Linked DNA regions of Coturnix japonica. The protein of the gene in region 2 purifies or fractionates together with the protein of the main gene of each other region. This does not show direct contact. Links are inferred from orthologs where the notes say so. Each region holds a gene or a part of one and is shown on either strand. Other genes may lie near its edges.

Region 1 (4,323 bases), on a different chromosome or scaffold from region 2:
AGGCAGCATCGGTCCCAAAGACAGATCTTGGACACACACACATTAGGTGCCACTAGGAGATAAAACAATATAAATTAAGTAAAGGAACTGTGAGGAAGCAAACAAAGAGACCTTTCCTTCTTAATTGCTGGATAAAATCATACCTTTCTTCATCATGTCTCGATCCAGAGCTACATTCCTTTGGGCAAGATTCACTTCAGCTCGAAAATGGAAGCGCTTTGCTCTTTGTTCCTTTTTCTCAATCGCTTCCTGCACAATGTGAAACGATCCAGTCAAAACAGGAACAGCACAGCCTTCCCAGCAACTGACATCATAAGACTGGATATTAAAATACAACTGACCAAGCAGCAACAAGCTATGTTAATATTTCTCTTATTTCTGAAGAGATCTGTATCTTTCAGAACACTAAAAGAACTCACTGACATGTTACTGTGCTATTTAGTACTTCTAATGCAAGTCTGGCAACGTAATGAGGATCAAAATGCGTAGAAAATAAAATATCCTGAACCCATGACCAGTTTCTATGATGGAACAGTAAGATTTATTTTTCCTTCCTAACAAATGTACAGACTTTGTACACATTTTCAGGTTTTGGACACAAATTTTGCTACTTAGAAATCACAAGAACCCACCCAGATGTTGTTTGCAACCAACATGAAGGAGAATTGTCTAGTTATTGTGTTTTCATAATAGGAAGCTTCTGTGACTCTTAGGAAAGAAATGAAGTGTTTCCTCTTTTCCTGCCGCAATAATTAAAACACTTCAAAGAACCACAGGACAGAAATTACCTTGGATGTTACATCTATTCCAGTAATGAAACTTCCAGCTTTGTTTTCGTATCTCCTACTAGTGTCCTGAAACAAAGCAAAACAGTGATGAAAACTCAATGAATGCTGACTGCAACGTAATCACTAGGCTAAAACAAATCTGGCCTATGAGAAATCCATCCTTACTTCAAGCTACACATCCATACAGAGTCAGGTATATGAGCACTTAACCTCACTGACATCAGTGAGAGTTAAAGCACATCAAATGAACCCAGATTCCTCTGCTATGAGAAACGTGTGCTTCTGCAATAACTGCTGTATTATTAATTGTTCAATTGCTCACATTTTTACTTTGTCTCAGCAACAGGGCAGAAGCAATACAAATTATCCCTGGTTTGATACATGACTACAGACCCAGAGGAAGATTGACAGCACTGACGAACAAACATAAAACTCATTTCCACCAATGGAGACCACTGAAACCTAAGCCTGTAGTGAACAACACGAACCCTGGAGTAGTGACCCAGCTGTGTCCTGTCTGCATGTTTCACAACTGCTTCATTCTGGAACCCTCAGAACCATCTCCTAGGGAAGGTTTGTGACATGAGCAACGTGCCTTGCTATGTCTAAGGATAAATATGCTGCTTACCCTTGTGCTCCAATAATTATTTTGGCTAAAGGCCTTTTTACTAAAAAGTAGGTCAGGCTCGGTTAGAAAACAGTCACACACCGAGCCCAACAGCTTTTCTTAGTAACAAACTTCCCTTAAAGTTACAAGATATTTAAAACAGGAATAGAATTAAACGGAGAACAGCAAAATAAACGTTTTTCAACTGGAAAAAAACAAAACAAAACAACAACCAAACCACTGCTGTCTGGAGGTGTCTGATGGAGCACAAGGAAGTCCATACGGTTGGGTGCTGTCTCTTAGGCCACATATTCACAGAATGACCCGGGTTGGAAGGGACCTCAAGGATCATGTAGTTCCAACCCCCTGCCTGGCAGGGCCACCAAACATACACCTTTACTAGATCAGGTTGCCCAGGGCCCCGTCCAACCTGGCCTTGAACACCTCCAAGGACGGGGCATCCACAACCTCCCTGGGCAGCCTGTTCCAGGGCCTCACCACTCTCCTAGTGAAGAACTTCCCCCTGACATCCAACCTAAATCTTCCCTCTTTTAACTTAAAACCATTTCCCCGTGTCCTGCTATTGTCAGCCCTTTCCAAGAGTTTACTCCCCTCCTGGTTATAGGTTCCCTTCAGGTATTGAAAGGCTGCAGTGAGGTCACCCCGCAACCTTCTCTTCTCCAGGCTGAACAAACCCAACTCCCTCAGCCTGTCCTCATAGGGGAGGTCGGTTGAAGCTGAAGCACGTTGGTCAAGCAGCTAATTAGAGATTAGTTCCTCAAGCATTTTCCACACGCATTTTCCAAACAAAAGCCTACTTAGGAGCGGAGATCAACTCTGACCCACTTTCATACATTCAACCTGACCATAGCTGAACTTATCTAAGAACAGTGAGTACAAAAAATGAGAGAACAAGAAAAAAACCCTCAGGGCCCGCACTGCCTGAGCATCCCATTCACACTCCAGCTCCTCAGCCCGTACCTCCCCCCACTGCCCACCCCCTCCCTCATCTCCCCTCCCCCTTCCCACCCCCATTTCCCTCCTCCCGACCCCTCCACCCCCCGTTCCCTCACATAAACCCCCCGGTGCCTTTAGGGCCGCCCCTACGTACCCTGCCCCCCCTCAGGTGCCGGTCCCTCCTTCGCTCCCCCTGCCCGTCCCTCACCGGGATGAGCTCACGGAGCGATCGCCTCACGGGGATGGTTTCCAGCTCGCCTTCTTCCACCTCCATAGGTTCAGGCTCAGTGCCGCGGGGTTCTGCCATTGTCGCCGTCGCTTCAGTCTTCACCGAAATCCGCAGGCCCCGCACGGCCGCCATGACTCCCCGAGCCCGCCCTCCGCCCGGCCAACGAGACGGCCCAGCCGCGGTGCAGAGCGTCACCTCCCAGAGACACCACAGAGACGGCAGCGCGGATAGAGCGCCGCCAGGAGCCGCTGCAGAAGCGGCGCCAACGCGCTCAGGGCGGCCATAGAGACGGGGAGACAGAGCGGCTCCCTCGGCCCTCCGCCGGCCGCCATTTTCCCGTCCTATAATGATGGTGGCAGAAGTGAACTGCCTTCCACAGACGTTTCATTCCATACTTGGAGATCTGAGGGGTCTTTTCCCATCTTAATGATTCTAAAATCCAATAGCAGGTTGTTAATGTCAGTTATTTTGCCATTGCTGACATCACCCAGCCAACACCTGACAGGAACCACCAAGTGATATATATCAGTGCAGGTGATATTTCCATGCCAGATGGGAATGGATTATGTGAACATATGAGAAGTAAACAGGGCAGAAACACCCTGAAATCATCAGTAGAGGGAAGATTTCTGTGACAGAAATGCTGTTATAAGGGAAATAAAGGATACAGAAAGGATACAAAGGATCTAGATCTGTATATGATGTAGGAACAGTCAAATCAGAGGAGGAAAACCAGGCCTGAATGCATGCAAGGCTTTGGCTGCTGAATAGGTGAGCAGAATCTCTTGATACTTCCCAGCTTTTCATTATGAACTGTGAATTCTTCACAATTAAAGCTGATCTAATTTCATTCTTCTAAGTCTCCATCTCTGTTCTTTTCCACTCAGCGCTCAGGACTGCATCCTCTGCCTATAAAATGTGAACGAAGGAATGCAGGTTGGAGCAGAAAAGCTCCACCTTTATTGCAGCTTTTGTGCTGAAAGGGTGAATCAGTGGTAGTAAACTAGTGAGGAGTGGAGTGTTAATGATGAAACAGGAATCTGGAGAAGGTTCTCAGTCATTATCTAGAGAACTAAAGAAAGGCTGTTAAAAATAATAGAGTGACTGAACAATAAATCTTTCCAGCATAAAAAAAAAGCTTCTTAGAGAGGAAGTATTATTCATTTCCCCATTAGTGACCACCAGAGGGAACTCTTGCAATAATATTCCCAACTGCCAGCAGTTGTGAAAGAAACCTGCTGAAACCATCCAGCTCCTGTTGATGTTCAGCTGGAAACAAGGGAAGATGGGTTACAAAAGGGAAGGAGAAAAAGAACAACAACTCTCAGTCAAAAGGCAGCTTCTCTTCTTTCTTTCTTGGCCTGGCAGGAGTCTAAAAATGATTATTTTTATCATTGCAAGAGACTTCTGGCTTGTTTATTTGAAGACTGTGAAGCACTACCCTGAATGTGGCTGTACTTTCCTGCTGCTGGGATTTAATTCTCAACAAGAATCTCCAGCTTTTTAAATCTATGAAAAACCCGAGCACAGAAGTGTGCTATTTCTGCAGCCATCCTGCAAACTCCATGCGTCACCAGGGAAACTGGCATTCTAGGTTCCAAATAGATCATGACTGGCTCCTACCTACAGTCCATCTGGAGAGAGAACAGGATCAGCGAAGGAAGGATGCTCATTTGTTAAACCATCTGATAAGTCAAACACCTGGTGTTTTCTTATATATTTATAACTGCAGCCTCCCACCT
Region 2 (4,098 bases):
CAGGTCACAAGTGATGCGAGCAAAAATACTGCGGTTATGGGACTGTTGGTTCAGAACATGACACTGCGTAAATACAAAACACTGCTGGATGGGGAAGTCAGCTGAGAAGACAAATTATCAAGAAAAGAAGGGGAGGGGGAAATGAAATGGGAATTAAAACCAATTTAAATACAAGTGAGGGGAGACAAACTGAGTAAAGCATTAGACACAAGGACAAAGGACACAGTTATGATGAACAGTAGGTTAATGAAAGAGGCAACACAGGCACATACGGTTTTGATGAGCGCCAGATGGGAAGGGAAAGTTGTGCTTTCACTGCAAAGATGTGACTTCAAGTCCAGCCAGCCAGTTCTTTGCAACCTGCAGCTGGCTGCAAGACAGGTCTCAGTTTTCATTCAGTTCAGCCAGCCTGAAAACCTGGGGGCTGGAGTTTTTACTTCAGCCTTGTAACCTGGACTTCATCTAGTGCTAATCAGGTGGAACATCCTCCCACCTCATAGAAGCAGGCAGAAAACAAATCCCCAAATGGCCTCAAGTTGCACCAGGGCAAGTTTAGGTTGGATGTTATGAAGCACTTCTTTACAGAGAGGGTAGTTAAGCACTGGAATAGGCTCCCCAGGGAGGTGGTTGAATCGCCATCCCTGGATGTGTTTAAGAGCCGTTTGGATGTGGTGCTCAGGGATATGATTTAGCAGAGGGTTGTTAGAGTTAGGGTACTGGTTAGGCTGCGGTTGGACTTGATGATCTTTAAGGTCTTTTCCAACCTGGGTAATTCTATGATTCTAAAGAGCTCCAATAGTGAGCACATTGAGGCTCAGAGCAGGACAGAGCAACGAAGGGCTCACTCAACCACGAATCCTAAGAGATTTATTTCCTACAAACACAAAAGTGCTGTCCCAGCTTTACTAATAAATACAGTTATACCGTATTTGGAAGAATGAAAAAAGCTGCACAGCATGTTTCCAGTCCCTGCTACCAACAAAACTAATGGAAGGGGCTCCTGCAGTCCAACTAACACTAGCAAGCGGACACAGCACCACACAACTCAAGAGCAGTATGTTGTTTTACATATAAAACAAATTTTCGTTAGAAATACAGCATTGCATAAAACACCTGTTACATAAATTACCATCAAATTGCCATCATTTTCCCCCTACAGCATTAGAGAATTGTAATCTTCACCCCTCCGCAGCCATGCTGAACTGTAAGTCCTCTCCTATTAATTCAAGCTGTCAGCTTCAAATCAGAAACCCTGAATAGAGGTTTCAAGAGGACTCATCACAATGGCATCAGAATTAGAGGTAGCAGCGCTGTAGGTGGTAACAATTGGCTTTTGTTCCTGCTCTGCAGAAGGAAATGGAAAGTGCAGAGGTGCCAATCTTTGCCAGTCCAACTTTCTATTTTAATGAAATACAGTTCAGCTGAGTAGGTTCTGAGACAACATGAAAGCCCCAGAACTCAGGCTTAGAAAAGAAGAAACAGAAATGTCTTGCAAAAATTAAAGCAAGTAAAAAATCTGTCTTCACTGAGGTTACAGCCACAAACTGCACCACTTCGAGGCCTGCCCCCTATACGAATTTACACAAGTACTACTGGATTCAAACTATCTTTTCTGAAGAACTTGGTTTGTTATCACTTTTTTACGTGGAACTGACTAACACAAAACCAAAGCTGCTACAGAAGCTGCTGAGATAGAATCAGAGAACAGCTTGGGCTGGCAGAGGCCTCAAAGATTATATTTTATGCTGAATGGTATTTGTGCTGTACATCACCCCCACGTAAATTCATCTAATGGGTCTTCAGCTGTCAGGGAGAAACCTGCACATGTCTCTGTCATCTGCTCACGAGGGATGGCGTAGCTATATGCTATACCTTCAGGAGATTATCGATCTAAATTAATTTACCGACAAATACTGAAAGAAATAAAGTTGCTGGTAACATGAGCTGCGTATCCCAACCCTGCCGCCTGCTCCCACTCCACACAGGCAGCACTATGGGACCTGTTTTAGGGCAGTGCAGCCAGAGAAGTGCGGCACCCGCACATGGAACAGATGTTCCACAAACCCGACGACAACATCGCCTTTCGGTGGGAAGGGAGGAAGGCGGCTTTGGGGAAAGGCGAGTGAAAAAGAAACCAGAGAAATCAGACGGCAGTGCAGGAAGTTGTGCGCGTTACACCGCCACTTCCTCACACAAATAAATCCCCTCGGCTCACCAAGAGCCCGAGCATTGCGGGCACAGCCGGCGGGCGGCATTGCTGCCAGCAGCACGAGGCTGCGCTCCCCCGCTCCTCCCGCGCTGCGAACAATGGCCGGGAAGGGGCCGCTGTCCCGGGCGGGACGGCTGTGGCGGCACAGAGAGCGGGAGGGAAGGCGCCCGCCCGCGGCCTGTCTGCCTCCCTGCCTCCTTCCCTCCTTCCCTCCCGCCCCCGAGCGCCGCCGCTCCCCGCCCGGCCCAGCCCCGATCCCCCGCGGGCCGGGCCTGAGGCGCGGCCTCGCTCCGTCCCGTTCCGTCCCGCCCTGCGGCGGGGCGCCCGAACAATGGCGGCGCGGCGCGGCCCGGCCCCGCGCACAGGGCCCTGCAGGCGGCGCGGCGGCGAAGGCGGGTGAAGAAGGAAAGGAAAGCGAGGGGAGGAGGAGCCGGGCCGCTCCGACCCGTACCTGGTTGAACTCCTCGCCCACATCGGCGTAGATATCGATGTGGTCCACGCCGTCCGCCATGATCCCGCCCGGCCGCGCCTCGGGCCGACCGCCAGCCGCGCCCGGCTCCGCCGCCGCTGCCGGGAGGGGGAAGGTGCACGCGGCGTCACTTCCGAGCCAGGAGGGGGAACTTCCGGCGGCTGCCGCTTCTTGGGGGGCCGCCCCGCCCTGCCCGCCCCTTCAGAGTGCAGGGAAAGCGGCCCGAGCCCGCCTCGGAACACGGCGAAGTACGGGGCCGCTCCTCAGAGCCCCGCCGTTCCCCCTCAGCGCCCCTGCCAGGTCGCGGCGCGAGGTGCGAGGATCGCCCTCGATCCCGGAACACAGTGTGTTCTCCATTGTGTGTGGTGTTTCTCATCCGAAAATAAAGTTGCCTTTTGACAACGAGAAGTTTGTGTTTCTCTAGACCGGGTTGAAAGAGTGTTAAAGACCACAGGTGGATTGAAAATGCTCTTTTCCGTGAGTGGGAGTGCTCCTGGATCAGCATCTGTGGCCCTGAGCATCCCTGCTTCGTGTTGTGCTTTGGTGCTCTTGCGTTATAGTTCTCTTTGAAAGGAAAGGTTGGTCTTTTCCTGACAGAAAAGAGGTGAAAAATCAGAGAGCCACAGCAATGGGTATGCTGTGGATCACGCAGGCTTAAAGTATGGGCTGCTGTCTTATGCATATCTCTGTCAGGGCCCCTTTTTCCTCCTGCTTTTGAAAGGAAGAAAGCTCCAGCTGTATTATCAGATGGAAGCTAGTGTGAAAGAAGAGCTGAGGGAACACACCTGCTCATCTGTGTGCTCTCTTGTTCAGAGATGGGTCTGGAAGGCTTGCAGTCATTTGGTCACTTGCTGTCCCCAACAAACTTCATTAGGACTCGTCTCCCAGACCAGGCTGTGCTACCAAGGTCTCTCTCATGACCACGTTTCTGCTTCAGCCCTCACACTGGCTCAGCCTGCTGAGTCCTGCTGTACTTTGGGCATGGAGATGCTCAGGTTGTCCCTGGAGTTCTCATCCAGTTTGTGGCACACACACACATTATACATACATACAACAGCCTCTTGTGCTGTTATATGTGTTAACAAACAAAAAAACCTACAGCTGGGATTGTTCTCAGCTGTGAGAGCTTTCCTAACCAACAAACCAAGCACTCCTTGGAAAGCCCCTTGGAGAGGTTCAGAATATCACCTGAAGAAACATTTACTAGAGTGTATCCAGGCACTGTGTGTGGAGATTTAAAAAGGACCACGTCTGGCTTGATGATGTTCTTGTTACTTGTAACAACACGGAGCACTTTGGCACAACACTTCAGTCCATCTGTCCACCTTCTTCCACACTACTGAGGAAAAAACAAACCTTTCCTATCCTGATAAGTATTCATTGGAGATGTTGGGAAGTTCTTCTCTGAGTGTCTAGCTGG

The links.
Region 1: the proteins of CPSF6 (region 2) and NCBP3 purify together in Homo sapiens (co-immunoprecipitation; 3 studies listed by BioGRID and IntAct, with this or other methods). This does not show direct contact. The link is inferred for Coturnix japonica from reciprocal best matches to the Homo sapiens genes CPSF6 and NCBP3.

Annotation. Positions count from the first base shown.
Region 1 is NC_029534.1:3,968,963-3,973,285, forward strand, and holds the start of NCBP3 (nuclear cap-binding protein subunit 3), read right to left. Parts: upstream 2,807-4,323; 5' UTR 2,714-2,806; coding exon 2,507-2,713; intron 855-2,506; coding exon 789-854; intron 250-788; coding exon 144-249; intron 1-143. UniProt on the Homo sapiens protein: Associates with NCBP1/CBP80 to form an alternative cap-binding complex (CBC) which plays a key role in mRNA export. NCBP3 serves as adapter protein linking the capped RNAs (m7GpppG-capped RNA) to NCBP1/CBP80.
Region 2 is NC_029516.1:32,102,936-32,107,033, reverse strand, and holds the start of CPSF6 (cleavage and polyadenylation specificity factor subunit 6), read right to left. Parts: upstream 2,810-4,098; 5' UTR 2,721-2,809; coding exon 2,661-2,720; intron 1-2,660. UniProt on the Homo sapiens protein: Component of the cleavage factor Im (CFIm) complex that functions as an activator of the pre-mRNA 3'-end cleavage and polyadenylation processing required for the maturation of pre-mRNA into functional mRNAs.